Linked DNA regions of Oryctolagus cuniculus. The protein of the gene in region 1 purifies or fractionates together with the protein of each later gene. This does not show direct contact. Links are inferred from orthologs where the notes say so. Each region holds a gene or a part of one and is shown on either strand. Other genes may lie near its edges.

Region 1 (6,430 bases):
TCCAAGCAGGGGCGTTACCACGAACAGATTTGTTATTTTTTTGGATGAAATATGCTATTTCTCAACATAAGGGGAAAATCAAGCCTACTAAACCACAGAAGGCAGAGAGGAACACACAGAACCCTTAGGCAAAGACATATATTTATACAAAGTCCTCAGTCTCGGAGTTTCTAAATACAGAAGCTCTGGAAGGAGCTCCAACCAGAGGGGCGCAGGCAAGAAGTCTCTGCCACAAGCACGGTTTCCTCCACGGGCAATAGTTCACCAGACAGCCTGCAGGCCCATACAGCACAGACTTTAGATCAATTCCCGCGGGGAAGACACTGGACCTCTCCGGGCCTGTTTCCTGGCCTGTCTGACCCGGATAATGCTACCCATGTAGCCCTCTCAAAACGGCTGTGGGAGAAAACAGCGCACTCAAACCGCTCAGCAGAACACCTGGCGGATAGTAGGTGTGGAACACATGAAACTTCGTTTTATGACCATTATCATAAAAGCTTATTTAGTGCACCCACTGCCTGCCGACAACAGAAAATGCTTCAGGAGACAGAGGAAGTAACTGGATCCGGGCTTCACCGGACCCTCCTCCCCGGCTCAGCCCAGCTTGGCTCCCGGTAGCCAGTTACCCTCTACTGCATGAGTGAAAGCGCGGTGAGTGCCCGGAGTGAAGAAAAGTTGGCGGGTTTCCCACTGATACCAGCTGCTCTCGGTTTCTGAACTCGCAAAGCCACAAATACCTTCAGGCCCCCAGGCTGTGAGCCCAGAGCTGAATTCCCCCAAGTTCAGAAGCAGTCCGAATTAGACCCGGCCGAGAAACCCAAACTCCTGCGGGTCCCACTTCAAAAGCCAAAGCTAGACAGAGGCTTGAGAAAGAGCTGCCTTCTAATCCTTCCCTCCCTCGCCTCTCCCCCGCCACAGCTCCTCTCAGGAAAGTGCACCTGGTCCTGCCAGATCACATTCTTACATCCTGGCAAGCCAGCGCCGGCCTGCGAAATCTGCTAACGGGGCAGGGGGCCGCCCGGCGACCACCTCCCCCGGCCCGCAGACGGCCGCGCGGTGGACGCCGCCGGCCCTTCTGATAAGGGGCCTGAGGGGCCGGCAGGGCTTCCGTGCCTGGGCCCCTTCCCGACTCCGGTCTGGGTTCCACCACACACGGCCGTCGCCAGGGGTGGGGGGGCGGGGGCGAGGGAAAGGGCCGCCGCGAAGCAACCACTTCTATGGGTCTAGCGCTTCCTAGAGGCTGTGCGGGATATGGGCCGGTCAGCCGGCGGGGAGGGGACTGCCTCAAGCCCGCTTCTACTCGGGACTCCCTGCGGGACTTTTGGCTCTCGGGATTTGTTTCCCCGGGAGCCGGTGCAGGCGCAAAGAGCTGCGTGCGTGCGCCGGGTGCGGGATGTGTGTGTGTGTGTGTGTGTGTGTGCGCGCGCGCGCCGGGGCAGGAGGGCCACCACCGGGTTCCCCCACTTTGGGATCCCCTAAATGCTCGTCCCCCTCAGGATGCTGAGTTGTTCCCACCCCTTATAAAAGCCGCCCCCTCCGAGGCAGAGTCGCCATCCCCCGCAGGCGTCTCCCTAGGATCGCGCACGCGAGGACTCCGCCGAGCGCCCAGGGTCGAGAGATGCAAACCCGTCCGCTCCGGGCACTGCCACACAGCCGCGCGGACTGTCGCTCCAGAACTTGACCCGCAAACTTCGGCGCGTTCTCCACGTAGTGGTGTTGGGGGGAGGGGGGACCCGACTCTCGCGAGACCGCCTCCCAACTGGAGCCCACTTTCCGCTCGCCCCCACGGGGCACTCCGCGGAGCACCTTCAGGGCGGAGCTCCCGGCCCCCGGAAGTGCGGGGCGGGGTGGGGGGAGGGCTCGGACCGGGCGCTCGGCCTCCCAGCCCTGCACAAACGCTGGGGCGCCACTTGGAGCCCCCTCGACTCCGCCAAGTGGGGACACGCCCGCGCCCACTCGGCCCCAGGCAGCTGGCACAGCTCTCAGCCTTCCGTGACCCGCCATCCGCGTCTGGAGCCCTGAACTTGAGCCCCCGCCTCCGTCAGCGGCTGCGAGCGTCCGGCCGCCCGCCCGCCCGCTCGCTCGCTCGCGGCGGCCACCGTCACTAGACAGTCAAACCCCAAGACGTCAGCCCACAATGCACCGGGCGGGCCGGGAAAGACGGGCCGGGAGGGGACCGGGAAGAGAGGGGCTAGAGGCGCGCGGAGGGGGAGGGGGAGAGGAGGAGAAAGAAGGGCCCAACTGTAGGAGGGCAGCGGAGCATTACCTCATCCCGTGAGCCTCCGCGGGCCCGAAGAAGAATCTTCTAGGGTGGGGTCTCCATGGCGACGGGCGGGCCCGCCCCCCAGAGAGCGACGCGAGCCAATGGGAAGGCCTTGGGGTGACATCATGGGCTATTTTTAGGGGTTGACTGGTAGCAGATAAGTGTTGCGCTCGGGCTGGATAAGGGCTCAGAGTTGCACTGAGTGTGGCTGAAGCGGCGAGGCGGGAGTGGAGGTGCGCGGATTGAGGGAGACAGACACACAGACACAGTCCGCCCGCCCCGCCAGGACGCCCGTAGAGTGCGATCCGCACGGCTGCGTTGCTTTGCCAACTGCCCCGCGCTAGCGCCTGTGGATCCCGGGCTGGTGTTTGGGGGGAGCACCTGGAGAGCTGCTGCTTCTCCAGCCGCCCCCGGGGAGGAGAGCCCCACCGCACGAGCGCAGCTGACAGCCGCGGAGAGCGGCGACTGCAGCGGCCAAGAACTTTCCGAGCCGGGAGGACCGGGGACAAGTGGCCCGGAGTCCCGGAGCGAACTTTTGCAAACCTTTCCTGCGCTATTTGGGCTTGCCGCGGCGGCAGCAAAGAAAAGCAAGGCGGCGGAGAGAGGAGCGAAGAGGAGCGACGCGCGCGCGGCTCCGCTCGCCCCGGCCTCTGAACTTGACCGGCGCGAGCCGCTGCCGCCGGGAGCCCCCTGCCCCTCGCAGCGGAAGAGGGCACAGTCTCCGGGAGTCCGGGCGGCCGAGACCCGCCGCCACTGCGGGGCACCGCGCCGCGCCGCCGGGGAGCCTCCGAAGGGCGCGCAGTGAGTGACCGCGACTTTTCAAAGGCGGGCAGGCGCGCGCGAGCGGCCGAGGAGTGCGGGCGAGCGTCTGAACCCCGCCGCTCCCGGGAGCGGGGGCCGGTGAGCGGGGCGCCCAGGGGGAAGACAGCCCGCGGGTGCGCGCGCGCTCCGAAACTTTTCCTTTGCCAGAGGCCCGGGGAGGCGCGGGGTGCTCCCCGCCCGCCAGCGCGCTGTCGCGGCCCCGAAACTTGTGCGCGCAGCCCAAAGTAAGCCCACGTGAAGTGACGGACTGTTCTATGAGTGCAAAGATGGAAACGACCTTCTACGACGATGCCCTCAACGCCTCGTTCCTGCAGACCGAGAGCGGCGCCTACGGCTACAGTAACCCCAAGATCCTGAAACAGAGCATGACCCTGAACCTGGCCGACCCGGTGGGCAGCCTGAAGCCGCACCTCCGCGCCAAGAACTCGGACCTCCTCACCTCTCCCGACGTGGGGCTGCTCAAGCTGGCGTCGCCCGAGCTGGAGCGCCTCATCATCCAGTCCAGCAACGGGCACATCACCACCACGCCGACCCCCACCCAGTTCCTGTGCCCCAAGAACGTGACCGACGAGCAGGAGGGCTTCGCCGAGGGCTTCGTGCGCGCCCTGGCCGAGCTGCACAGCCAGAACACGCTGCCCAGCGTCACGTCCGCGGCGCAGCCGGTCAGCGGGGCGGGCATGGTGGCTCCGGCCGTGGCCTCGGTGGCGGGCGGCGGCGGCGGCAGCGGCGGCTTCAGCGCCGGCCTGCACAGCGAGCCGCCTGTCTACGCCAACCTCAGCAACTTCAACCCGAGCGCGCTGAGCAGCGGCGGCGGGGCGCCCTCCTACGGCGCGGCCGGCCTGGCCTTTCCCGCGCAGCCCCAGCAGCAACAGCCGCCGCCGCCGCCGCAGCCGCCGCACCACCTGCCCCAGCAGATCCCCGTGCAGCACCCGCGGCTGCAGGCGCTCAAGGAGGAGCCGCAGACCGTGCCCGAGATGCCCGGCGAGACGCCGCCCCTGTCCCCCATTGACATGGAGTCCCAGGAGCGGATCAAGGCGGAGAGGAAGCGCATGAGGAACCGCATCGCCGCCTCCAAGTGCCGGAAAAGGAAGCTGGAGAGGATCGCTCGGCTGGAGGAAAAAGTGAAAACCTTGAAAGCGCAGAACTCGGAGCTGGCGTCCACGGCCAACATGCTCAGGGAACAGGTGGCACAGCTGAAACAGAAAGTCATGAACCACGTTAACAGCGGGTGCCAACTCATGCTAACGCAGCAGTTGCAAACGTTCTGAGGACAGACTGTCGAGGGCTGAGGGGCGACGAAGAAAAAGAAAACAAAACCAACAGAGAGACAGTCTTGCGAACTTGACCGGTTGCGACAGCGAGAAAAAAATAAAAAAGACGCGTCCGAGGACTAAGGCCAAGGGTATCCAAGCCGGGCTGGGTTGCGTCCTGACGGCGCCCCCAGTGTGCACGAGTGGGAAGGACTTGGCGCGCGCTCCCCTTGGCGCGGAGCCAGGGAGCGGCCGCCTGCGGGCGGCCCCGCTCGGCGGAAGGGCTGTCCCCGCGCCATCACGACGGTAGACTTTTCTTTAACATTGACCAAGAACTGCATGGACCTAACATTCGATCTCATTCAGTATTAAAGGGGGGGAGGGGCGGGGTGACAAACTGCCATAGAGACTGTAGATCGCTTCTGTAGTACTCCTTAAGAACCCGACCGGGAGGGCTGGGGAGGGGCGGCGGGGGGCGGGGAGGGAGCCGGGGAGGGCCAGGCTGAGCCTGCAGATACACTCTTTCTGGCCTGCCTTCGTTAACCGTGTATGTACAGATATCTATTTTTTAATTTGATGAAAGCTGATTACTGTCAATAAACAGCTTCATGCCTTTGTAAGTTATTTCATGTTTGTTCGTTTGGGTGTCCTGCCCAGTGTTGTTTGTAAATAAGAGATTTGGAGCACTCTGAGTTTACCATTTGTAATAAAGTATATAATTTTTTTATGTTTTGTTTCTGAAAATTCCAGAAAGGATATTTAAGAAAATACAATAAAATATTGAAAAGTAATCCCCCCCAACCTTTTTTCTGCATTATCTCTAGATGCTAGGTAATCTGGGTGCAATCAAGAGAGTTTTAGTGTCCATCAGGATCGCTCAGTACTTATTGCTTTCAAGCAGTACAAACTCCTGGATTCCCTACTGAACTTTAGAAATAAGTGGTCCTGGTGTTATCATCAGGTCTCAGACTTCCCAGTTGATCACCAGAGGGTAGTGGGGGGTGGGAGAGGGTGGGTCCTGGGGACTGGAGGAAAGGGGGTTTGGGGGCAGAGGGGCAACCCACTGGCAAGTCAGACACCTCAAAGTTTGGGATTCCATCAAGTGGCAGGTGCTGGGACCGTTTGTAATGTTGGTCGAAATTTAACAGTACATGCTTATTCTCAAAGCAGGAACCCGGGGCAGATCTTAGAAAAGATGTATCCTTCCAATTTGGAATCTTCACTTTAACAATGCTAAGATTTAAAAAGATGGCCTTTGCTTATGAATATTCATAACAGATTCTTGTCACAATAAATGTATTCAAATACCAATAACAGATTTTGAATTCCTTTCCCATTACTACTTTTTCCCCCCCCAAGCTGAATACTGGAGCTTTTTCTTTTCAGTTGCTGGGGTTAACATTACTTTATTCTGGAGTTACTTGGTAACGAAGAAGCAAAGAATTTAGAATCAAACTAGAAGTTCTGTGGATGAAACATTCTCCAAATTTCATTAATGTGCGCTCGCACGCGCGCGTGCTCTCTCTCTCACTTTCCTTCCCCCTACCCCCAAATAAACACCTCTGCCCAAGGAAATTAGCAGTATAGCAGTTTACCACTTGGGATCCCTGTCTGTAGTTGATTCCTTGTTTGTAAAATAATCAGTCTTGTCTAGAGGATTATTATAGAGTCAGTTTTAAAGCTGCTTATCTAAATATGGAAAAGATTCACAAGAGAACACGTGAGCAGCAGCACACGATTACTTCGGAAGATCAAACAGCTCTGGGGAAGGGGCAGACTTAGATCAACAAGGCACTACTCAACAAGGGAACAATTTTTGCTTGGTTGCTTTTCTTCCCAAGAGCCAGTGTGATTATCAAGCAGCAAAAGCAATTTGATATCCAGGAATATTTCACAAACCACTAATTGAGGCAGGGCTGTTTGCTCATTAGCGGTGCTCTAGTACCCAACAGGTCTGGGAGTGCTAATATCCTGCCTGTGGCTGTAAATCCAAATACACAAAGAGTTTCTCTTTAGGAGCGTATCTCAGAGTGGAAGAGATTGGACAGGCTTGTTAGCTATCAGATACACTCCGTTGTAATAACACTTCTTGAAC
Region 2 (7,520 bases), on another chromosome or scaffold:
CGCACAGTGGAGGATGATCGCCCTATCTCAACTCCAGCCGTGCTTATAGTCTGTGTCATGTAATTCTCTCTCAGCTGCTCCTGGTGTTGCTGTTCATCTGTTTTGTCTATTTTAAAATTTACTTATTTGAAAGGCAGGGGGGAGAGAGAGAGAGAGAGAGAGAGAGAGAGAGAAGACTGACCTTCCAAACACTGGTTCACTCCCCAATGATCACAACAGCCTGGACTGGGCCAGCAAAGCCAGAAGCCAGGAGCCTCAGCTGGGTCTCCCACGTGGGTGGCAGGAACTCCAGTACTTGGGCCATCATCTGCTGCTTCCCAGGAGCATTAACAGGGAGCTGAGTTGGAATTGGAGTATCCAGGACTCAACTAGCACTCTGATTTGAGATGTTCCTATTCATTAGTTTTTAAGTCATTCTTCCTAACTCGATGGCAAGTGAGAAGTGAGGAAGAGTCTCTCTCTCTCTCTCTCTCAGCAGAGCATCAGAAAGAGCTCTTATTCACTGGTTCAGTCTCCAAACACCTGCAATGGCCAGGGCTGGTCCGGGGCTGTAGCCAGGAGCTGGGAATTCAATATGGGTCTCCCACATGGATGACCAGAACCTGATTAACTTGAACTATTTACTTGCTACCTCCCAGGGTCTGCTGTAGCAGGACAGCGGAGTCAGGAGCTGGAGCTGGAGCTGGAAATCAAACCCAGGTGCTCCCATCTGGGACAGGAGCGACTTAATTGCTAGGCTCCCAGGAATCATGCCTTCCACTCTGTGTACCTTGCAGGCACAGACGAGATGTTCAGTAATATTTGCATGAAGACTAGCTGTTTGGCAGACTACCAGAACCATCACTTCCTGCTTTGATACTGGAGGAACAGGTCTGAGGGATTGTTTTACTTCACCATTTCACTTCTTCCCTTTGCAAAGAGCTTAGTTGTCATCAACGTCCAAATGCACCAGACGTGCGAAAGCCAGTGGCCTCGTCAGGATTTTTCTACTTGCAAGGACTCGGAGGCCCAAGTTCAGTAAGGTACAGTTTGCTGATTCCTGTAACAGAGACCTCCAGAGGCAGGGAAGGTGTCAGCCGGGCCTGGACACAGGATCTCAGCGTCCTGAGAACGCCACCTGCCCGCGCCTTGGGGACGACTCCCCTCTTCTCCGCTCTGCACTGTGTCACCCTCAGCCGACCCCTAGCGTGTGCTGGCTTCCAGCAGCGTCTCCTCTGCACAGTCCCCATCTCTTCCGATTCACCTGGAATATGCAACAACCTCTAAGGCTGCCTCCTGGCCGGGGCCAGTGTCTTACGAGGACTCTTCTAGCTGCGACTGAGAGGAAACCTAAATTCAGACTGCTTTCAGCTGAGTCATTTGCCCCTGGGAGCCAGGGGTGTAGACCAGCTCCACATAAGGACCAGCAGGAGAAGCAGGCCACCGTCGGTTTACAATCCTCCCTCCAGTCACTTCCCTGGGAGGGGGCGGTGGGGCTGGAGGGAGGTCTTGAAGCTGTGTTTGCACAGCATCCTATATAAAATGGAAAAACGCCCGTATCAAATAACAGGAGAGAACTAGTGGCTATTAGAGGGAGATGGAGCGGGCCCAAGACCGCCCAGTCACCCCCAAGTACCACCCCTGTAGCTTATTTAAATATTTGTGGGGGGAGGCCCCACCACGGTCCAAAGCAGGCCCTGGAGAGCACCTGCTCCAACCACACACGCTCATTTCTGGTCCCTGCGCATAGATCAGCTTCGTTTGTTCAAAGTCCCAGCCGACGACACATAAAGTTTCACGACACATAAAGTTTCAGTGTCGGCTTCCACATAAACGTCCAAACCTCGGTCTCCTGGGAGAAGCATCCTAAGGCAGCTTCCCGGTCCCCGGCTTTGATGCTGATGCTGATGCTGCAGCGAAGGTGCCGTGGGGTTGAGTCCTGTTCTCCCACAGGACTATCAATGATGATGTGTTCTCCAAGCCTATTCTTCTAGGGCCTGGCCCCCTCCTTACTGGCTCGCATTCATGTCCCAAGGGAGGCTGCTGATGGCCAAGGGGAAGACTGGCCAGGCCGGCAATGGCCATGGGGACCTGGTCTGCCTTTCCTCCCACGGGACCAGTGCTCTGATCTGGAAAGATTCCACTGCCCAGGAGTGGCAGGGGGACTACAACCACATGGCAGGCAGACTGGCTTGAGTGTTCTGTGGCTCCCACCTGTCTCCAGTCCTGTTGTTCCTTTCATTCTTAGCGTCTGCCCTCCAAGAAGGCTTGACCTTTTCCTTTCACTTCCTTTCTTCTGTGGGAAATGACCTGGCATCACCCTGAGAAGGAGGCTAGAGGTCACCGGGTATCCAAGTCTTGGGCAGAGAGGTAGGGGGTTGGCTGGGCACCCAGAGGGGCCTGGAAGGTGGCAGGCATCGAGAATGGTGCCAAGGTCTCAGGAGCCACGCTTCTGCCCCCAGGGTTCTGGGCCTTTAAGGACTGGAGGGCACCACCCAGCACCATTCCTTCTAGCGTCCCCTTGCCCATCTACCTCTGGAGGAGGATGGCACAGGGCCACTGCCGGGCTGCTGAGGGCTGGGTCAGCTCCGGAGGGGAAAAGGCACAGCCTGCGGGAGCAAGACAAAAAGCCCAGGGATCAAACAAGCCGGGCGCGGGGCGGTGGAGCTGTCAGGCTGCAGCCTTGGGTGGGCGCCCGGTGGGCAGGGGTACAGGTTCCCCCAGGCACCATCATCCTGGGCCCATCTTTCTGCATGCCCGCTTGTGAGGCCACCTCCTCTCCCCTTCGCTTCCCAGGCGTCCAAGCTCGGAATCGTGCTGACACCATCTAGGTCCGGGAAAAGGCTGAGGACCCAGAAGGCCGTGCCCCGACGCCCGCCCCCCCCCCCCCGTCCTCCCACCCCACCCCCCCACCTCCCCCGGCGATGCCTGCCCGGGCTCTGAGCCCGGCCCTCTCTTCGCGCTCTCCCAGGCGGCGGCTTGGGCGTCGCGGGGCGGCCGTGCGCTGGGGATGCGCTTACATAACCGCTCGCCGCGTCCTGCTCGCTCCGCGCGCGTCCCGGAGCCGCGGGCTGGGAGCGCGGGGACACGCGATGGAGCCCGGGCAGGCGCCGCGGGGCCCGGGTCGCCCCTGCGGGCAGAGCAGCGCGAGCAGCCGCGGGAGGAGGGCGCCCGAGGCGGCGGGGGCGGTGAAGGTCAGTGGGTGTGAAGCGCCGGATCCACACCCCCTCCTCCTCCCCTGTCCCCTCCTTCCCTTCCTCTCCGTCCCCCTCTGACGTCTGGAGCTGGCAGCTCGGCCGGTTCCGCATTCCCGACCCCTCCCCGCCGCCCTGGGGCCGCTATATAGCCGGGGCTGATGCAACCCGTCCCGCCGCCCGCCACTGCCTGCGGGAGGGACGCTCGGCGGCCGCGACGGGGGGCGCTGGCGGCGGCGGACGCTGCAGCGGCGGCGGGGCTGGCGCCGCGGCGGCTCCCGGGCCGGGACGGGCCTGGGCACCGGGCGGAGCTCCGCGGCCCGGCGGCAGCGGCGCGGAGTGTGCAGGGCGCCTGCAGCCGGGCCCCGGCCCCGGCGCCGCCTCCGCCCGCGGCTTCTGCACGGTGGGTGCGAGGGCGCGCGCGGGGCGCCGGCCGCGCGGGTGGGGCGGGGCGCGCCGGCCGCGGGCACCTGGGACGGCCGCCCTCGCGCGGGCGGAGCGCGCAGAGTCCCCCGGCACCCGCGGCCCGCGGGAGGCTCCCCGGGACCGCGAGCTTTCGAGGCGCGGGGCGTCCGGGAGCCGGTGGCTTCCCTTGGTTCCGGCCCCGGGACGGGAGGCTCCGTCCGCTGCCTCCTCCCTCGCGCGCTCTCCTCCTCCGTCCGATTGCTGGGAGGCGCTCTCCTCCAGCGGCGGCGGCGGTGGCGGGGAAGGCGGGGTGAGTGGGGAGACAACGGCCCCTGTCCGGGAGCCGGGGGCGGGGCGGGGGAGGATGACAGGGACCTGCCGGCCGGGAGGAAGCACGGCTCCCGGAGGACCCGGGGGAGGGTGTGGAGGAGGGCGAGGGGTCTGCATCCGATGCAGGGGGCTTTTCTCGGATACTCCGCTGCATGGTTCTGGGCTGGGAAGGGTCCTAGGGATGGCCTGGGTCGGCTTTGGGGGTTCCGCGTCTCCCGGCCAGGTTACATAAGGAGGCAAGGCAGCCCCTCCGGAGATGCTTGGAATTCTCAAAGGGGCCCGGGGGCTCTGGGCCTTCTGCCCCGTATCCCTGGACCCCGGGGCTGGCAGAGCCAGGATTGGCTTGGGGCAGTGGGAGGAGCGGCAGCTACACGCGGGGATGCAGTGATGGAAGGGTGGAGAGGCTGCAGGAAGAAGTCGCGGGGACCCCTTGGTGTAGTAGCAGGATTGCCTGGCCCCTGCTGGCTGAGGCCCCCTCCCCTCCCGTGTGGCCCCCAGGGCCTGGGGCTGTGGCCTGACAGCTCCTGCGCAGGGCGGCAGGACTCCAGTCTGTGTGGAGAGGGCAAGCAGAGTGTGGGTGTGTGTACCCAGGTTTAAATCCTGATGCACTCACCCTGGCTGGGAGTTTGAGAAGCCTGAGAAACTGAAGCTTGGCGCGGTGTTGGGTGCCTGCTTGTCCTTTGAGGCTCTGTGTTAACCAGTCCTCTGCCCTCCCCCGCCAGCCTCCCTTCCCTGTGGGTTTTCTAAAGAAACCTCCCATTGCTTTGCGTTTCCAGCAAATCTGGCTGCAGGGAGAGTTCGATGGCTTATCTCCCTTTGCAGGTTTCTAGGGGAGAGTGTAACCACGCATTAGGTGTGAGGTGGCTCCACTTTTATATGAACCCGAGGTTGGGGGTGTGGGGCGAGGAGAGAGAGAAGCAAGGTCCATTCTCATGCCTCTGGGCTGCTGGGGTTCGGCTTAGCTGAGGACAGGCAGGGTGGGCCCTGAGAGAACCTCTTCTGTCCCTGCTCCTCTTTCTCGGCTCCAGCGCGGCAGGCAGCTCCAGAACCTTCCCCCAAGAGCTGGTTGCTGAGCTATTTGAGGGCTGCAGCAAGGTGTGCGTGTGGAGGCCTTTAGCTTCTCTCCTGAGTTAGCTGAAACCCCATCCTGGGCAATGTGTCCCTATGTGGTGACAATGACCTCTAGGGAGGGCTGGGTAAGGGTCTCCCCCCTACTCAACCGCTACTTAGCTTTGGCAACCCCCAGGGCACACACCTCCTGTCTCCCCAACCTGTTCCCGGGCTGTGTGGGCATCTTTTCCAACCTGCAGAAAGCCTTGGCAGGGCCAGGCCCTCGGGCCTTGCTTGTTGAGCCGCCCCTGGTGTTGCAATGGACTGGCTTTCTCTTTCGAGTGCCTCCACTTCCAGCTCCACGCTGGGAAGGAAGGGGCTGGTGCAGACTCTGGGCTGGCCTGCTCTGCGTTCATTCAACCCCAGCTCTACTTGAGCAGTCAGAGCCAGGGCTGAGGGCAGGCTACATTCTTCTCTGCTACAGGATGTAGTTTGCTTTTTTTCCATGCGAATGAATTATGTTTGAAAGCGAAATGGGCGGAAGAGAAAAATAGAGTGAGTGTGTCTGGGTATAGGTGCACATACCTATATAGGCGGGTGGGGGGGAGAAGCAGGCACATTATTTTTCCATTTTCCTTTAATTAAGGCTCTGTGGAGGTGTGTTTGAAAACAGAGGGTCTCCTATGCCTTAGGAGGGTGAGAACACTCTTTTGGCTGCGTCCTGGGCCATATGCAGCGTATGGTGGCCAATGAAACTGGAACTGGCTCATTCTCCTGCTTGTCTTGGCAGGCGGTCCCGTGGCTTGTGTTACCAGCTCTGGAACGTTGGGGCTGCCAAGCTCCGTGTGCCTGTGTGCATGTGTGTGCGTGCGCGCGTGCACTCTTGTGCGTGTGTGTGGTTTGGCCCTCTCAAAACTCAGCAGAGACAAATGCCTTAGCAACCCACGCTTGGAATTTTCGGCCTGGGTTTCTTTACACGTGGGGCTGGCTGTGGGAGGCCTGAGCGGAGCCCACCGTCCTTGGCTTTTCTCTCCCCCGTTCCTCCCCACCTCTCCTTTTTGGTCTAGTTTCTGGCTGTAGCCCGTGGGATTCGGCTGTGGTGCTGATTTCCAAAGCAGGAGCTGGCCAGTGGCACTTTTTTTTTTTTTTTTTTAAAGGACCAAAGCAATTATCACACAGCACGTGTGTGTCTGTGTTGTGCGTTGTGTTATGAACCCTGCCACTGAGAACAGAGCTGACAAGCTTGGCAGAGGGGCGACAGCTGGGCCGGTGCCAATGTCTTCCCTGGAGGTGTGGACTCCCAGGAGGGAGGATCTCACGTGCAGTCGCTGGCCAGCTATGTTAGGAAGAGGACAAAGCTGGCTTCCCAGGCAGGCTTGTTGGAAGCATTTTTCCAGTCTCCAGGGAAGAACAGGCATCCCCTAGGGCAAGGTTCCCAGTTCTTCTAAGGCCCGACTGGCTATGCAGGAATCATGCGGTGGCTCCTCCTGGCACTGGCTACCCGTCACCAAATGCTTAGGGGAACCCCAGAGGAGCAGCCCCTCCGAGTGGCACAGCAGTGCCGGCCCCCACTCTTGAGGGCCACCTGGTGGCTGTACCTCATGGCCAGTGATCTGTGCAGCCGTGTCCCGGCTTGCAGGGTGGAGAAGACCTCAGAGGGATCTCTGAGGACAGAGGGCAGGTGCCCGGCCTCATTTCTGCACCTGTGTCGCTAGCCCTTGGCCTGGCATCTCTGGTTGCAGCTGTGTAGTTCACTGCCAGGATTCAGGATGGCCCTGCCCACTCGGGGTGTACCACTGGGAAGTGGGCGAGCAGGGAATCCTCTGGGGAAATCCTCTAGGTGGCTGTAAGGAGGGGAGACCACTGTCAGGGGGAGCAGTCCGGAAGGGACCTCTAAGGGATCGCCGCCGAGTCTTCCTGGTTGTGTGCAGGTGCAATTCCAGGTACTTTCCAAGTCTTAGCTAATTGAATCTCTTGGCAGCCTTAGCGGGCAAGTAACACTGTTCTCGCCTTAGAGCTGAGAATAGGGAGGTGCAGAGAGGTTAGGGAACTTGCCCCGGGCCACATGGCTGGGGTCTGGCTCTGAAGCCTCCCCAGGTGCCCCGCCTGCAGAGCTGGGCCAGCACCTGCAGGGGCCTGGTCCTCATTCTGCGGCTTGCAGCTCCCCCTGCCCCTTTGCTCCTTGCCGCCTGATCTCCTTGTGCTTGGAAAGCTGGTGGACCTGCATCACTGACCTCCCAGCAGAGAGGCAGTCCCAGATGACTCCTTAGCGCCAGCCAGAGGTCTGCTGTTCATTCTGCAAGCCTCGCGGTGACGGGTCCCATACCCTGTGGCCACTGGCCTGCCACCTTTCTGCTCACTCCGTGGACTCCTGCCCCTGCAGCCGCTTGCCTCCTGGAGGTCCTCCCCCGCTGTTTCTCAGCCCTCCTTGGTGCTGATGCTCAGTTCCTGGCTCCGTGCCCTTGACTTCTGACCCCAGTTCTTGCTACTGGGGCTTGCTCTTGTCAACTCCAACCTGCCCTCACCTCCACCCTGAGCCTTAGCACACCCCCGTTCCGGGCT
Region 3 (7,516 bases), on another chromosome or scaffold:
TTGTTCCTTGGAGATAACACGGCAGGGACAAGACGCAGCCTGGTCTTTCCATCAGCCCCTCCGATTGTACTGTTTGAAGCTTCTGCTTTGTACTTAATAAAATTTCACTTCTGCTCTCACCGTTGTGTCCCGTCTCGCCTGGCTCCTGGCTCAGTGCTTCGCCATGGTCCTTTCTCCCACCAGCCCATGGCAGCGGCCAGGGTTCCCTGCATGGGGCAAGCGAAGCCAGCTTGTGTTCTACTGCAAGTCCTCGACCACTTCTGCGGGTTGTGCTGTAGGAATGAATCGTCTTCCTTTCTTTTCACAATCTGATTAACAAAAGCTAACTGCCAACTTTGTGCCTAATTAGAATGATTGTTTTTAACATTTATTTATTTGAAAGGGTTATGGAGAGAGGGAGTGGCAGAGAGAGCGCTTCCATCTGCTGGTTCACTCCCTCCATAGCCGCAATGGCCAGGGCTTGGCCAGGCCGATGTCAGGAGCTTCTTCTGGGTCTCCCACACGCGCAGCAGAGATCCAAACACTTGGGCCGTCTTCTGCTGCATTAACAGGGAGCGGGGTGAGACACGGGGCGGCAGAAATGTGAGTCTGCACCCGTAGGGGCCGCCGGCACTGCAGGTGGCATTCAGCCCACGAACAACGTTTAAACAAACAGTGCTCGCTGAAGAACCCCAGGGACTGACGGCAGGGAAGCGACTGGAGTCACAAGGCCCGTCTGGAACTAGACCCACCTCCCGTGAATTGCTAGATCTTGGCTCAAAGATTCTAGCAGCAAACTTTTCCCAGCATGCCTTGGAAGTCTGCCTGTCACCGAGCCCCTGCTGTTGCCTACCTCCCCACCCCGCCCCACCCAATAGTCCTTTAAAAATGCTCTTTCCTAGCAAGGGGGGGAAGAACTGGGACTAGATGTCTGCTTCCCCCGGTCCGGTGGCCTCCTGGGTAACCCTGTCTCCCTACTTCAACTCTTGCCTCGGATGCATTGGCCATTTAGTGCTAAGAAGGCTTACTAATTCTTCAGTATTGTTTATGGGGGTGGGTAGGGGCCCCCAAATTATGTTGCAGAGGTCAAGAACCCTGGCCGGGCTCAGAGAGACCACCGGCTGGATTCAGAATACAACTGGAGATGCAGAGGTGAGCGGGAGAGCAGGGTTTGTTGAAAGGCAAAGGGACAGAACACACGTGGTATGGGTGACATCCAGCTGGACCGTCCTGTTTATCGGGTCAGGAGGTGCTCAGCACAGGGTGACCTCCGGGCATTTGGGGCATGATGGGGGGGTGGCTCAGCTGCCTGAGGAGGAGTGGCTGTGCCGGTCTCAGGGGGCGGTGGGACTGGGGCAGGGCACATGGCGTGGGGGTGGGCAGTCCTTAGCTCCTTGTCCCTCACTGACTCCCTGCCTAGCCCCGAGCTCCCGCCTGTGCTGAGCAACCGTGTGTTCAGACCGTCCGACTCACAGAGGCGCTCAGTGCCCGGGGCTCATCTCCGCAGCCTCCGGGTGCGCCACCTGCACAGCCCAAAGCGTGGAGCAGCAAGAGCTCCGGTCTGTCCCTGAGGGCACCTCCGCTCCGGCAGCACAGATGCACGGGGAAGACTGCCCGGCCGAGCCAGGCAGGGAAGCAGGCGGATGCCCCCGTCTCTGTCTCCCAGCCCGTCCATGCCAATCCAGCACGCCCGCCTCCCTAGGGCGCACCTGGTCTCCCACACTACACAGGAGACGCCGTGAGGTCAGGTGCCTGTGGGGATGGGGAAGGGGGAAGTGTCTTCAAGCTCGGTGTCTCCCCCAAAGCTGTCTTTAGCAAGACAGAAGTGCCGATCTCAACCTTGTTTCTAGAAGTTACTATGCCACCCTTCAGATGGCACTGTTGCACAGCCCCCAGAGGGCTGACCTTTGATGGCCCGTCCCCAGCTGCGCTCCGCCAGTTTCCCGCATCTGCCTCTCTCAGGTCCCTCCTGGCTTTGCTCACCGCCTCGCCCTGCGTGGGGTGGCACCGAGGTCGCCTGTCTTCGCCTGCCTCACCTGTGGGACCCGGCGGCCCTCCCCTTGCCCTCTGTGGACACCCAGTCCCGGGCAGCTTCTCTCCTATGGGGTGACTGCACGACGCATTCTCATTCTCCCACTAAGTGCAGCCTGCTCTTGGTCTTAGCCTCTGCTTTGAATTACCGCAGGAGGCTGGGGGTGGAGACCGGGACTTAGAATGAAAACGGGGACACAGTTCTGTACGGCCATAAGAAGTAAAGCCGCCGCCTGCAGTGCCGGCATCCCACAGGGGCGCCGGTTCCAGTCCCGGCTGCTCCACTTCCCATCCAGCTCTCTGCTATGGCCTGGGAAGGCAGTGGAAGATGGCCCAAGTCCTTGGGCCCCTGCACCTGCGTGGGAGACCCGGATGGAGCTCCTGGTTCCTGGCTTCTTATCGGCGCAGCTCCGGCCGTTGCGGCCATCTGGGGAGTGAACCATGGGATGGAAGACCTCTCTGTGTCTCTAACTCTGCCTGTCAAATCTTTTTTTTTTTTTTTTTTTTTGACAGGCAGAGTTAGAGAGAGAGAGAGAGAGACTAGAACCCGGGGTGCCGGCGCCGCAGGCGGATTAGCCTAGTGAGCCACGGCGCCGGCCATCAAATAAATCTTAAAAAAAAAAAAAACCCACACAACAAAAACCGATTTGCACGTGGGTATACGGGAGCAAGACGGGCGGGACCCCGAGGCCGACGGGCTGGGCGGGCTGAGGGGAAGGCGCGGGCGGGGGCGGCAGGGAGGAGACGGGAGCGGCAGCGCGGTGCACGGCCGGCTCGCTCCGGCGGAAGCAGGTTTCCCACAGAAATGCAAATTTCCTTCACAAAGGGACAGCCGGTCAGCCCAGCCCCGTCCGCGGTTTCTCGGAACCTGACAAAGAGCTACACCGCGGGCCGCCCCTCTGGGAGCCCGCGCGACCGGAAGGCCCCCGCCGCCGGGGCGGGGCGTCACCGGAAGAGGCGGGGCCGCGGTCTCCTGGGCGACGGCGCAGCGGCGCGGCCCTGCCCGGGGGGGGGCACGCTTCAGCGCGCCGTCTACGCATGCGCCCGGTGGTCCCGCCCCTCGTGCCGCCGTCGGCCATTTCGCTGCTGTTTCCTCAGTGCAGCCTGGGCGTGAGGGCGTGCGTCCGGCCACTGTGCGGAGCGGCGAGCGGTCCCGGTGAGGGAGCGGGTCCCGGGAGGGAGCGGGCGCTCGTCCGGCCTCCGTGAGGGGCGGGAAGCGGGCCCCGCGAGGGAGCGGGCGTGTGAGGGGCGGGCGCCCGGGCTCCGTGTGGGGCGGCGAGCCGGCGGGTGAGAGCGGGCGTCAGGCATCTGTGCGGGGCGGGGAGCCGGCGGGTGAGGGGCGGGGAGCGGGCGTGTGAGGGGCGGGCGTCAGGCCTCCGTGCGGGGCGGGGAGCGGGCGGGTGAGAGCGGGCGTCAGGCCTCCGTGCGGGGCGGGGAGCGGGCGGGTGAGGGGCGGGGAGCGGGCGAGTGAGGGGCGGGCGTCAGGCCTCCGTGCGGGGCGGGGAGCGGGCGAGTGAGGGGCGGGCGTCAGGCCTCCGTGCGGGGCGGGGAGCGGGCGAGTGAGGGGCGGGCGTCAGGCCTCCGTGCGGGGCGGGGAGCGGGCGGGTGAGGGCGGGCGTCAGGCCTCCGTGCGGGGCGGGTGAGGGCGGGCGTCAGGCCTCCGTGCGGGGCGGGGAGCGGGCCCTGCGAGGGAGCGGGCGGGTGAGGGGCGGGCGTCAGGCCTCCGTGCGGGGCGGGGAGCGGGCCCTGCGAGGGAGCGGGCGGGTGAGGGGCGGGCGGGTGAGGGGCGGGGAGCCGGCGGGTGAGAGCCGGCGTCAGGCCTCCGTGCGGGGCGGGGAGCGGGCCCTGCGAGGGAGCGGGCGGGTGAGGGGCGGGCGTCAGGCCTCCGTGCGGGGCGGGGAGCGGGCGGGTGAGGGCGGGCGTCAGGCCTCCGTGCGGGGCGGGGAGCGGGCCCTTGTGAGGGAGCGGGCGATCATCCGGCCTCGGTGCGGGGCCGGGAGCGGGCGGGTGAGGGCGGGCGTCAGGCACCCAGGCCTCCGTGCGGGGCGGGGAGCGGGCCCTTGTGAGGGAGCGGGCGATCATCCGGCCTCGGTGCGGGGCTGGGAGCGGGCCGGTGGATGAGGGGCCCTGCCTCGGCCCGGGGCCTGCCGCCCCCTCCCCGCCCCCTCCTGTCCCCGGACTGCCCTCGCCCGCTCCCACGCGGGAGGGGTCGCCGGCCTGCTGCACTGGGTCCCGTCCCTGGCCCCTGTCCTTACCTCTCAGGGGAAGTGAGGGCGACAGAGCGGCTGGCCCGCGGGTGGGGGCGTCTGGGGGCCAGTGAGGAGGATTGAGGAGTCCGTGGCCACACAGGCGGATCTGCAGCAGCACTGCCAGTTAGGAGTCTTAACTGTTAGGGGGGTGGGGGGTCGGGGACTTCCAACCTGAGTAAGTTGGCCAGGAGCCCAGCAGGTGCGGGAGAGGGAGTGCCCCGTTCTGCCTGGGCTGCGTGTTACGGTGCAGACGGCTGTGAGCCTGCCGCGGACCAGCCAGCTTGGGAAGCTTCAGTAGAAAGGTCCCAAGTGTTTGTTATGTATGTGCGGTATGATTGTTTCAGAGTTAAATGACTGTGGAGGAAGAGAGGAATTTGATATTGCAATTCTTCAAAGTTCATGTTACCCTGAGAACTTGTTTTTTAAATGAATTATTCAGGGGTGGAATTTCCAGAGCTTCCCGTGGCTCTTCTGTTAATGGGCTGTTCCTTCAGGTGACCCAGCAGGGCTAGACTTGGCCACCGAGTAAGCCTAGCGGGTTTATGCAGGGAGCAGGCGCGTGGTACGGACTTGAGTACTGACCGAGGGCTCTGGACGTGAACAGAAGACGAGACTGACTGCTGGTAACAGATCTCCTCCCAGGAAACCGCACTTTCTCTGGCTTGAACGTGGTCTCCAGCATCTTGCTTGTTGCCTAGACTCCTTGTAAACGCATAGGCTCCAGCAGGGAAGTGCGAAGCATGTGCTGCACCTGAGGGAGATGTCTCTCAGACCGGAAGGAATAAGAGGTCCTGAAGCAGATACTGGGTGCAGATATTACCTTCACAGCGCCAAGAAAGGAGTGCTTACTGTGTCTGCTAGCACTCAGAATCAGAATGAGAATAAATCATGGGGCTTATGCACGATGTGATGTACCCTTTCTTAATCTAGAAGTTGGGTTTGAATTCAGATTCCCATTATGAGTGGCTTGGAACAGTTCTGTAAAGTGCAGTAATAGGATCTATCCTGTTGTGAAAAGAAAATGAGTTACTACACATGAGGTACCAATTGTAGGAGATTATATAAACTATTTGTTAAACATTCATAGTCCCCAAAGGCTAGGCACTATTTCTTTCCAGTTTTGATTTTTTTTATAGATTTAATTATTATCATGGCTTGACACTAGATTTTGGCAGTGCCTTGTATTTTTTTTTTTTTTTAATTTTTTACAGATAGAGTTAGGCAGTGAGAGAGAGAGAGAAAAGTCTTCCTTCTGTTGGTTCACTCCCCAAATGGCCGCAACAGCCGGAGCTACGCCAATCCAAAGCCAGGAGCCAGGTGCTTCCTCCTGGTCTCCCACACGGATGCAGGGGCCCAAGCACTTGGGCCATCCTCCACTGCCCTCTTGGGCCACAACAGAGAGCTGGACTGGAAGAGGAGCAACTGGGACTAGAACCCAGCGCCCATATGAGATGCCGGCGCCGCAGGTGGAGGATTAACCAAGTGAGCCACGGCGCCAGCCCTCCAGTTTTGATTTTTATATATATTTGTATGTAGTTCAAAATATACAATGTCAAAATATACAATGTTGTATCCTTATGTCAGAAGCTTTCTGCTTACGTCATTAAAATTTCTTCCTGGGCAATTTTTTAAAAAGATTTATTTATTTGAAAGAGAGGAATCTTCCAACCACAGGTTCACTCCGGACAGTTGAAATGGTGATGGCTGCAGTGGCCATTGCTTGGCCAGGCCAAAGGCAGGAATTTTTTTTTTTTTTTAAGATTTTATTTATTTATTTGAGAGGTAGAGTTAACAGACTGAGAGGGAGAGATAGAGAAAGGTCTTCCTTCCACTGATTTACTCCCCAAATGACCGCAACGGCTGGAGCTGCACTAATTCGAAGCCAGGATCCAGGAGTTTCCTCCAGGTCTCCCAGGTGGATGCAGGGCCCCAAGGACTTGGGCCATCTTTTCCTCCTTTCCCAGGCCATAGCAGGGAGCTGGATCAGAAGAGGAGCAGCCAGGACTGGAACTGGTGTCCATATGGGATGCCAGCCCTGCAGGCGGAGAATTAACGCACTGTGCTGCAGTGCCTGCCCCTAAAGGCAGGAGCTTCATGCAGGTCTCCCACATAGCTGCAGGGGCCCAAACATTTGGACCATCTCTGCTTTTCCTAAGCCATTAGCAGGGATCTGGAAATGGAGCAACTGTGACACAAACTGGTGCCCATACGGAATGCTGGCGTCACAGGCGGCGGCTTTACTGCTATGCCACAACACCATTGTAAATCAGGATATTTTCTTGGGTGTGTTAATATTCTCAAGTCTTTTATCTTGACAGTTGATAGTCATTTGAAATTTGTATTATTTTCATGTTTTCTCACTGAACTTCAGGGAGAAAATGTGTTCTGGTTTTCAGTGGAAAACTGTTAAAGGATTCCAGAAATAATGAAATTAAAATTGACTAAGTTAGCTGTATTAACTAAATCATTTGCCATCAGGTAATTTATCTTTTGCAGTCTGAAACTGATGAGATTTTTAATAGGTTCAGAATCTGCTCAAATATAGAAGTTCAGCCAAACAGCTTCAGTAAAAGAATCTTGAAAAGTACAGAGACGACACCTATCCTTCATATCATAAAAGGAAATCTCTCCTGATTTATAGTCTAGGAAAATGCTGACCCTCCTGTGTGCTGCTACCAGCAGAAGCTGGGTTCTCCTGGGACCCAGGGCAACACATCCATTTGTGGCGCGTTGCCCAGTTGCCCAGACGCTGTCCTGGACTGAGGCCTGATTCTGCTGGTTCCTTCTTCCTAGACAATTTTAATTGCATGATAGATTATACTGTACTTAATTTGGATTCTCAGCAGTTTACAATTTTTGCAAATACTATGCTGTTTAACCAACTTTAGTGGGGTTTTTAGTTGTTTTTCGTTTTTTTAGGTTTGAAGAACACACCTGAATCATGGGGGACGTTAAAGATTTTCTGTATGCCTGGTGTGGCAAAAGGAAGATGACCCCATCCTATGAAATTAGAGCCGTTGGGAACAAAAACAGGCAGAAATTCATGTGTGAGGTACTGAAGAGTATTGTCTACTTATGAAGCTCAATTTGGGATTAAGAGCATTTTGTGTTAAGAAATGTGTATTGCACGTTGAAGAAGAGCAGTTCTTGTTTTTGTTTTTAAAGATTTATTTATGTATTTGAAAGGTATGAGAGGCGGCAAGAGAAGTCTTCCATCTAATGGTTCACTCCCCAGATGGCCGCAGTGGCCATAGCCA
Region 4 (7,669 bases), on another chromosome or scaffold:
GAAGCAGCAAATGATGGCTCAAGTGCTTTCGTCCCTGACATGAATGTAGAAGACCCAGGTGGAGTTCCTGGCTTCAGTCCAGCCCAGCCCTGGCTATTGCAGGCGCTTAGAGAATGAGCCAGTGGATAAAAGACCTCTCTCACTCCTTCTCTGTCTGTCTCTCTCAGTCTTTCTGCCTTTCAAATAAAGAAATGAGAGACTATCTTATTTTTAAAAAGAGAAGAATACTAAAGGGAGGAGCCAGCTCTGGGGCGCCAGCATCCCCTATGGGCACCAGTTCAAGTACCAGCTGCTCCACTTCTGATCCAGCTCTCTGCTGTGGCCTGGGAAAGCAGCAGAAGATGGCCCAAGTCCTTGGGTCCCTGCACCCACATGGGAGACCCGGAGGAACCTCCTGGCTCCTGGCTTCAGACTGGCACAGCTCCAGCTGATGCGGCTATCTAGGGAGTGAACTAGCAGATGGAAAACCTCTCTTTCTGTCTCTCCCTCTCACTGTGGCTCTCCCTCTCAAATAAATAAATAAAATCTTGAAAAAAAAAAATAAAGGGAATCTTCACGGTGAAATGAAAGGATACTAGGCAGTCATTCTAATCCACATGAAGAAATAAAGAGCACCAGTAAAGTTAACCATATACTTAAATACAAAGATATTTTCGTGTAATTTTGTCTATAACTGTTTTTCTCCTATCATATTTAAAAGGCAACTGTATAAAACAATCATTGTAGACCTATGTTAATAGGAATACACTGAAGAAATGTGATTCATATGATAAGAGCACAAAGGAGGATTTAGGAAAATAAAGCTGGACATCATTTGTATACTGTTAAAACTAAGCTGTTATTAACCCACAATAGAGTACTATAAATTAAGAATTTATTGCAATCTCAAAAGAATTAAAATAGCACACTAGAAATATTTATTTAACATAAATAGACAACAGTAATGGTGGAAGGGGGAAAAGGTATACAGAGAATAAATATCAAACGGCAGGTATAAATACTAGCTTATCAGTAATTAGACTAAGTGAAAATGGGGCCGGCGCTGTGGCATAGCAGGTAAAGCTGCTGCCTGCAGTGCTGACATCTCATATGGGCGCCAGCTCAAATCCCAGCTGCTCCACTTCCGTTCCAGATCTCTGCTATTGCCTGGGAAAGCAGAATATGGCCCAGGTGCTTGGGGCCCTGCACCCACGTGGGCGACCTGGAAGAAACTCCTGGCTCCTGGCTTCAGATTAGCCCAGCTCCAACCGTGCAGCCATCTGGGGAGTGAACCAGCAGATGGACAATCTCTCTCTATCTCTGCCTCTCTGTAACTCTGCCTTTCAAATAAATAAATAAATCTTAAAAAAAAAATCCACAACAGGCACATCCACAGAGACAGACCCTCATGATTGCCAGAGGTTGGTGCAGGCTAAATCATGAGCAGCTGGCAGTGAGCACGGGTTTCTTTTTGGGTGATGAGAACAGTCTGGGATTAGAGAGTGGTAACCGTTGTGTAACTTTGTGAATATATAAAAATCACTGAGCTATGCACTATTAAAAGGTGAGTTTTAGGATCTGTGAGTTATATCTCCATTCTAAAGATGTAAATTAAATAATGGGTGAAGCCAGGAGCTCAGAACTCCAACAGGGTCTCCCTTGTGAGTGGCAGGGGCCCCAGTCCTCGGGCCATCTTCCACTGTTTTCCCAGGTACATTGGTAGGGAGCTGGATTGGAAGTGGAGCAGCTGGGGCGCAAACGGGCACTCAGCCCCTATCACTGTATTCTTTTAAGTAGGAATTGTTTCAGGGGAGAGTAGATGGGAAAGAACCTGAGAGATTCTATGCCTCTCTCTCACTTTTGTTCTCTAGGGAAAAACCACTAGCATCCCGGAGGGTGCAGTGAAGACCTGGAAGATCCCAGGTGGGGAGCTCAGAAAGCCAAACACAGATTCCATAAGCAATATTGCAAGCCTACTCTCCTTATTAATTTGAACATTTTTAAGTTTTTAGTTGTGGTTAAAACACACATAACATAAAGCTTATCATTTTAACCACACAATAAGATTTTGACTGTCACCTCTGCATTTGATGTTTTCCCCCCAAATCTCCCCCAGGGGCCATCTCCTCGTGGTCAACCTCATGGTTTGAACACTACTTCCTCAAAGAGGCCTTCTTTTAACAACAGGAGTAAAAAGTTTCTCTCCCACCCCAGTCACTTTGTCTTCTTCCCCCACCCCCAAGCACTCTCCACTATTTGACAATTTGGGTCTGTGGGCTTATTGATTATTTCCTCCATCCCCTACAATAAATAGCCATTCTCCCAAAGCAGGGGCCTCCCTGGTCCACCTGCTCTTCTCCACAGCCTAGAACAGTGCTTAGCACACGGTGAGCCCTATTACGTCTTGTGAAAGCACTTATTGAGTAAAAAATACATATATTACACACACATACAAACACACATCTATAGTGTTAATTCCCTAGCAGTTTCATGTATCTCCCTTGCTTACTGCAACTCTGAGTAAAATGGGATCCTAGCCCTACTGTGGAAAAAGCGTTTGGTCCAAGGCCAGGGGGCCATTACATGGCAGCGGGTGGACCGCGCAGGAGGGCTGCTTTTCCCAAAGCATTCCACTCCAGTTCCAAGACTAGGGGCATTTTAAGTGACTCTGCCCTTAAGCCTATGAGGACCCTGAAAGGCAGTAGAAACGACCAGCACATGCTTTTTTAAGTAGCCATTTCCTGGGTTGAATGAACCCTTACCTCTCCCTCCCTTCCCTCCATCCCCCACCGCACATTGAGCTGCCACAGGGTGGGCACTCTACGTGCAAACAAGAGCACACAACTACTCACCCGTTTGGGACCCTGAGTACCCGCCTCGCCTCCGCCCCAACCCTTTATACAACTTGGCCGAGGTATAACCTTGTCTCGTTTTAAAAATGTGCTCCTTTGACACATCTCATACCCCACTGTTTGCATCTCCACCACGACATGCACCTGTCAAGGCTCCCTCTCCTCCCGTTTCCTTTCTTTGCCGTCCCCCGGCCCCCCGACACACACACACACACACACACACAGCCCGGATTCCACAGCCGAACACGTGTGGCCTGTGTGTACAGAACTCGCTCAGCCGCCCTCGCCAGCCCGGCCCACAGCAAGCCCCGCCCCTCGGCCCCTCTCCAACTCAGCCCCCACAGATCTCGCCCTTCCCCACCTCCACCCCCCACTTCTCGCGAGAGGTGAGCGCGTCTGGCCGGACGGGAGGAAAGTATCTGCTCCGCTGAGGGGGGAAAGAAGGAGCTGGAGACAGATTGTGGGACCGAGCGCGGGCGGGCGGGAGGCGTCGGAGCTACCAGCGGGTGAGTCCTGTTCACGTTAGCTAGTCCATGATCTGACGGGAGTCTCCCCTTCAACTCTGGCCAGTCACGGCGTCCCGGGCCGGGGTCTCCCCTCCCAGTCTGTGTTGGACGGGGGCGCTGAGGCGGTGGCCGGGCCCTGTCTGAGGAAGAGGGTGGGGCGTAGACTAAGCGCGGCCAATAAGAGAAAGGGCAGCCACGATTGGCGGCGGTGAGCGCTAATGGGAGGTCGAGTTTACCTCGCGGAGTGACGCCCCTCTTCGCTCCCTCCTCCCGCCTCCTTCCTTTGGGGGGGAAGGCGGGGCCAGAGGCCTGAAGTGTGGGGAGAACTTGGGGTAAGTAGCCCCGGGGGGCACAGGGCGTGGCATGCAGGGGGCACTTGAATCCTGTGGGAAAGGTGTTCCAGCGGAGCCTAATGGAAGGGTCCTGGAAATGGGAGGAAGAGGAAGGGCAGCGAACCAGACCCAAGGGCTTCCCCAAGAGTGGGGTTAGAGGCTTTGGCGTTGGAAAAGGCAGAAGTAATAGCCAGGAAGTAGGAATAAGTAGGTGAGAACCAGGATCCTGATCAGGTGGAGACAGGCGCTGGATCTGACTGGAGAGATCGGGGTTAGTGATTGCAAACGAGGGTCGTAGCGTTTCTGTCGAGTTCATCAGAAGAGTGTCGGGGATGCGACGTGGGCAAGAAAGTAGGGGTTTGGAGAAAATGAAGTGAATGAGTTGAAGAAGGGGTGTGGGTGGGCTGAGCTGGCCAGGAGGCACGGCGGTGGGCAGGCTCTGAGAGCTGAGAGGAGTTGGGGGCGGTGTTTGGCTACAGCCAGGTGTCCCGGGCAGGCCGGGACCCGGGGATCTGGCCCCCCGACGGGTGCCCCGCCTGCAGGAACGCGGGCACAGCGGGAGAGGAGAGAAACGGGGCGCTTGCACCCCTCCTCCTCCTCTCCCCGCTTCCAGACTCACAAGGGGACGTGGGCTCGGGACTCAGTCCCGGGGGGGGCCTCCACGCCGCTCGGGGTTGCTTGTTGTGTTCTCGGGCTGCAGTGTTTACTCCCCGGCGCACCTCCTACCCAGACTCCCGCCTCGCTCCTTTCCTAACTTCAGCCGTTGGTTTCCCGTGAGCAGAGCTTGGTTTAGCCCTGTCACCTTACGCCTGGGTTCGTAGCTGGTGTGCAGAGTTTTCCCCGCAAGTTCTTTCAATTCCCACGCTTACATTTTTTGCAGTAGTGCAATGCCTGTAGAAGCATCAGTCCTTACAGACATTGGAAGCACAAAGACACTAAAATTAAGTTTGTTTTGTTAAAAGTATCTTCTTCATGCGTTCTTGAAGAGTTGTTAAATGGATGGCTGCAGTCCGTTTATCTGTATTTTTTTAACGGTGTAAATAAAATAGACGCGTGTTTCAGGAAAGTGGAAATTTCTCAGTTTCTTCCTTTGTGTTTAGACTCAGAAACTGAAGATATGTCATAATATGTTAGGGTGAGGGTTTGGGAAATCAAACACAATTTGTACTTAAACATGGAGAGTGCAAGGTAAGTGGAGGCTGTTGCGAAATGTACCGTGTTTGTAAGAAAAGAAGCTAAAGAAGAGTTTGGCAGCTGTGCTAAGTAGTCTTACCAGTTTGTTCTTAATTCTGTACAGAAAAAGGAAAGGCCTTTGCCCTTTGTGTATCGTTTAATAATGCACTAGACTAATAGCAGCCGATTAATTGTTTTTGCTGTGGCATAGATTTTTCTTTTGCATTCCTTCTCTACTTTTACTTCTGAGAAGTAAAATAATATCTGAAATAGCAGTAAAGGTATTATATGAAGAGAGACCAGATGATGTAGTTTTGTAATAACTTTCGATTTTCAGCAGCCAATTGAAGCTTTTGCTCCTGGTAGGAAGTTGCCCCTACAGCACATTGAGACCAATTAATTCCTGACCCCTTAGCTACTGAGTTGGGCTAGTATTTTACATTAAGAGCTTTGCTATTGAACATTCAGAACATTTTCACCATTTGCCTGACACATTAAAAAAAAAAAAATCCAATGAGAGAGCAAAGTCCCTTGCTTTTGGTCTTCCAGAGACTTTCTGATGGCTTTGACTTGGGCACTGTTAAGTGTATTAAGTACGAGATTTTGTTTTTCTCACTAATGTTGCCGTCAGGTAGAAAGCTAGAGAGAGCTGCTCATTTTTCAACTTGTGGATCGAAGTTTACGCTCTGCGATAGTGTCAGTGTTGTTAAACACCTCTGGTTTTCCTGACTTTAACACATCAACGCCTACCATTTCCATGTCTCACTCTCTTTCCTCGCTTCTAACCCAAAATGAAAATTATTTTTTCAACCAACTCTTAACGCTACTACTTTGCCTCAATGTGCAGTCCACGACTCTGGTCAACCACAGCTGCTCTGAAATCCTCGCAAGTTGTTGCTTTCTGCGGGTCAAGACTGAGCTTCCCCCAGGCTGCAGTGGGAGGGAGTCGTGTTCCACGGCGGCGGGCATCCCTGTCCGATATGGAGGAGCCGCCTCCTTCAAGGAAGTCTTAGGTGGGGCAAATGGCTCTGCCATGCAAATGACGGAGAGCGCTCTCCTTGCACTGTTGGGCAGGCTGGCCTGTAGCTGCCCATGTCTCTTGACAAAGGTACTGCAGATGCAGATGTTGTTTCTTTGAGGGAAAATCAAATGCAGCATTCATTAAAAAAGAAAAAAAATGTTAATTTTGTTGTTGTTGGTTTCTCTGAAAATGGGTCTATGACTTTGGAGTTCATGAAAAGTCTTCTGTCTCTTTAAAAACATGTCATAGAAAACAATTGTAAGATTCTCTGATGTGCACTCATTTTTAAATGTTCTCTTCCGAGGCTGGTGTTGTGGCATACCAGGTTAAGCCGCTGCCTGTGACACTGGCATCCCATATGGGTGCCAGTTTGAGTCCTGGCTGCTCTACTTCTGGTTCCAGTCCCTGCTAATGCCTGGGAAAGCAGCACAAGATGGCCTAGGTCCCTTGGCCCCTGCACCCACCTGGGGGACCTGGAAGAAGCTCCTAGTTCCTGGCTCTGGCCTAATTTGCCCTGGTCATTGCCACCAGCTGTGGAGTAAATAAATGGATGGAAGATTCCCTCTCTCTGTTTTTCCCTCTCTCTGTAACTCTTTTAAATAAATAAATAAACCTTAAAAAATAAAAATAAATGTTGCCCTTTGCCAAGAGGCTTCTTTGGGATCACATATATTCAGGGTATATGAAAACATCATATTTAGAACTCCAGATTGATGACCTTTTTTTTTTTTTTTTAAAAAAAAAAAAGATTTATTTATTTATTTGAAAGGCAAAGTTACAGAGAGGCAGAGGGAGAGAGAGAGAGAGAGAAAGAAAGATCTTCCACCCACTGGTTCACGCCCCAAATGGCCAAAATGACTGGAACTGAGCCAATCTGAAGCTAGGAGCCAGGAATTTATTCAGGTCTCCCACATGGGTGCAGAGGCCCAAGCACTTGGGCCATCTTCTGCTGCTTTCCTAGGTTCATTAGTAGGGAGCTGGATGGGAACTGGAGCAGCCAGGGCTCAAACCGGTGCTCATATGGGATGCCGGCACTGCAGGTGGAGGCTTTACCTGCTACACCACAGAGCCAGTCCTGATCATTGGGCTTTTAACTTCTGAATGCTCTAAGGAAAGGTCCCCATTCGCAGATACCATGTTTCATTGTTAGAGCGCTACATTTTTATTTATTTAATTTTTAAAAATTTTTATTTATTTGACAGATAGAGTTAGACAGTGAGAGACAGAGAGAAAGGTCTTCCTTCCATTGGTTCACCCCCCAAATGGCTGCTAGGGCCAGAGCTATGCTGGTCAGAAGCCAGGAGCCAGGTGCTTCCTCCTGTTCTCCCACATGGGTGCAGGCACCCAAGCACTTGGGCCATCCTCCACTGCCTTCCCAGGCCACAACAGAGAGCTGGACTGGAAGAGGAGCAGCCGGGACTAGAACCGGCGCCCATATGGGATGCCGGCACCCCAGGTGGAAGATTAACCAAGTGAGCCACGGCACCAGCCCGATTTATTTTTAAATACTTTTCTTTGTTTTATTTGAAAGTCAGAGTTCCACAGAGAGAGAGAGTGATCTTCCATCCACTGGTTCACCTCCCAGATATCCTCAGTGGCCAGCCCTGGGCCAGGCCAAAGCCAGGAGCTTCATATGGGTCTCACATGTGGGTGGCAAACACTTAGGCCATCTTTCGCTGCTTTTCTCAGACCATTAGCAAGGAGCTGGATTTGAAGTGGAGCAACCAGGATATAAACATCCCATATGGGATGCCGGCATCACAGGTGGCAGCTTTCTTGCTGCGCCACAATGCTGCGGCCCCTACA

The links. The genes of interacting proteins can lie anywhere in the genome.
Region 2: the proteins of JUN (region 1) and JDP2 purify together in Homo sapiens (co-immunoprecipitation; 3 studies listed by BioGRID and IntAct, with this or other methods). This does not show direct contact. The link is inferred for Oryctolagus cuniculus from reciprocal best matches to the Homo sapiens genes JUN and JDP2.
Region 3: the proteins of JUN (region 1) and DHX9 purify together in Homo sapiens (affinity purification with mass spectrometry; 3 studies listed by BioGRID and IntAct, with this or other methods). This does not show direct contact. The link is inferred for Oryctolagus cuniculus from reciprocal best matches to the Homo sapiens genes JUN and DHX9.
Region 4: the proteins of JUN (region 1) and cyclic AMP-dependent transcription factor ATF-7 purify together in Homo sapiens (affinity purification with mass spectrometry; 3 studies listed by BioGRID and IntAct, with this or other methods). This does not show direct contact. The link is inferred for Oryctolagus cuniculus from reciprocal best matches to the Homo sapiens genes JUN and ATF7.

The regions. Positions count from the first base shown.
Region 1 is NC_091438.1:114,256,667-114,263,096, forward strand, and holds JUN (transcription factor Jun), read left to right. Parts: upstream 1-3,339; coding exon 3,340-4,353; 3' UTR 4,354-4,454; downstream 4,455-6,430. UniProt on the Homo sapiens protein: Transcription factor that recognizes and binds to the AP-1 consensus motif 5'-TGA[GC]TCA-3'.
Region 2 is NC_091451.1:21,435,984-21,443,503, forward strand, and holds the start of JDP2 (jun dimerization protein 2), read left to right. Parts: upstream 1-3,020; 5' UTR 3,021-3,173; exon of another isoform or gene 3,174-3,187; intron 3,188-3,350; exon of another isoform or gene 3,351-3,576; intron 3,577-3,674; exon of another isoform or gene 3,675-3,888; intron 3,889-7,520. UniProt on the Homo sapiens protein: Component of the AP-1 transcription factor that represses transactivation mediated by the Jun family of proteins.
Region 3 is NC_091444.1:1,028,295-1,035,810, forward strand, and holds the start of DHX9 (ATP-dependent RNA helicase A), read left to right. Parts: upstream 1-3,016; 5' UTR 3,017-3,166; intron 3,167-7,178; 5' UTR 7,179-7,200; coding exon 7,201-7,311; intron 7,312-7,516. UniProt on the Homo sapiens protein: Multifunctional ATP-dependent nucleic acid helicase that unwinds DNA and RNA in a 3' to 5' direction and that plays important roles in many processes, such as DNA replication, transcriptional activation, post-transcriptional RNA regulation, mRNA translation and RNA-mediated gene silencing.
Region 4 is NC_091442.1:56,607,087-56,614,755, reverse strand, and holds the start of cyclic AMP-dependent transcription factor ATF-7, read left to right. Parts: upstream 1-3,169; 5' UTR 3,170-3,337; exon of another isoform or gene 3,338-3,669; intron 3,670-7,669. UniProt on the Homo sapiens protein: Stress-responsive chromatin regulator that plays a role in various biological processes including innate immunological memory, adipocyte differentiation or telomerase regulation.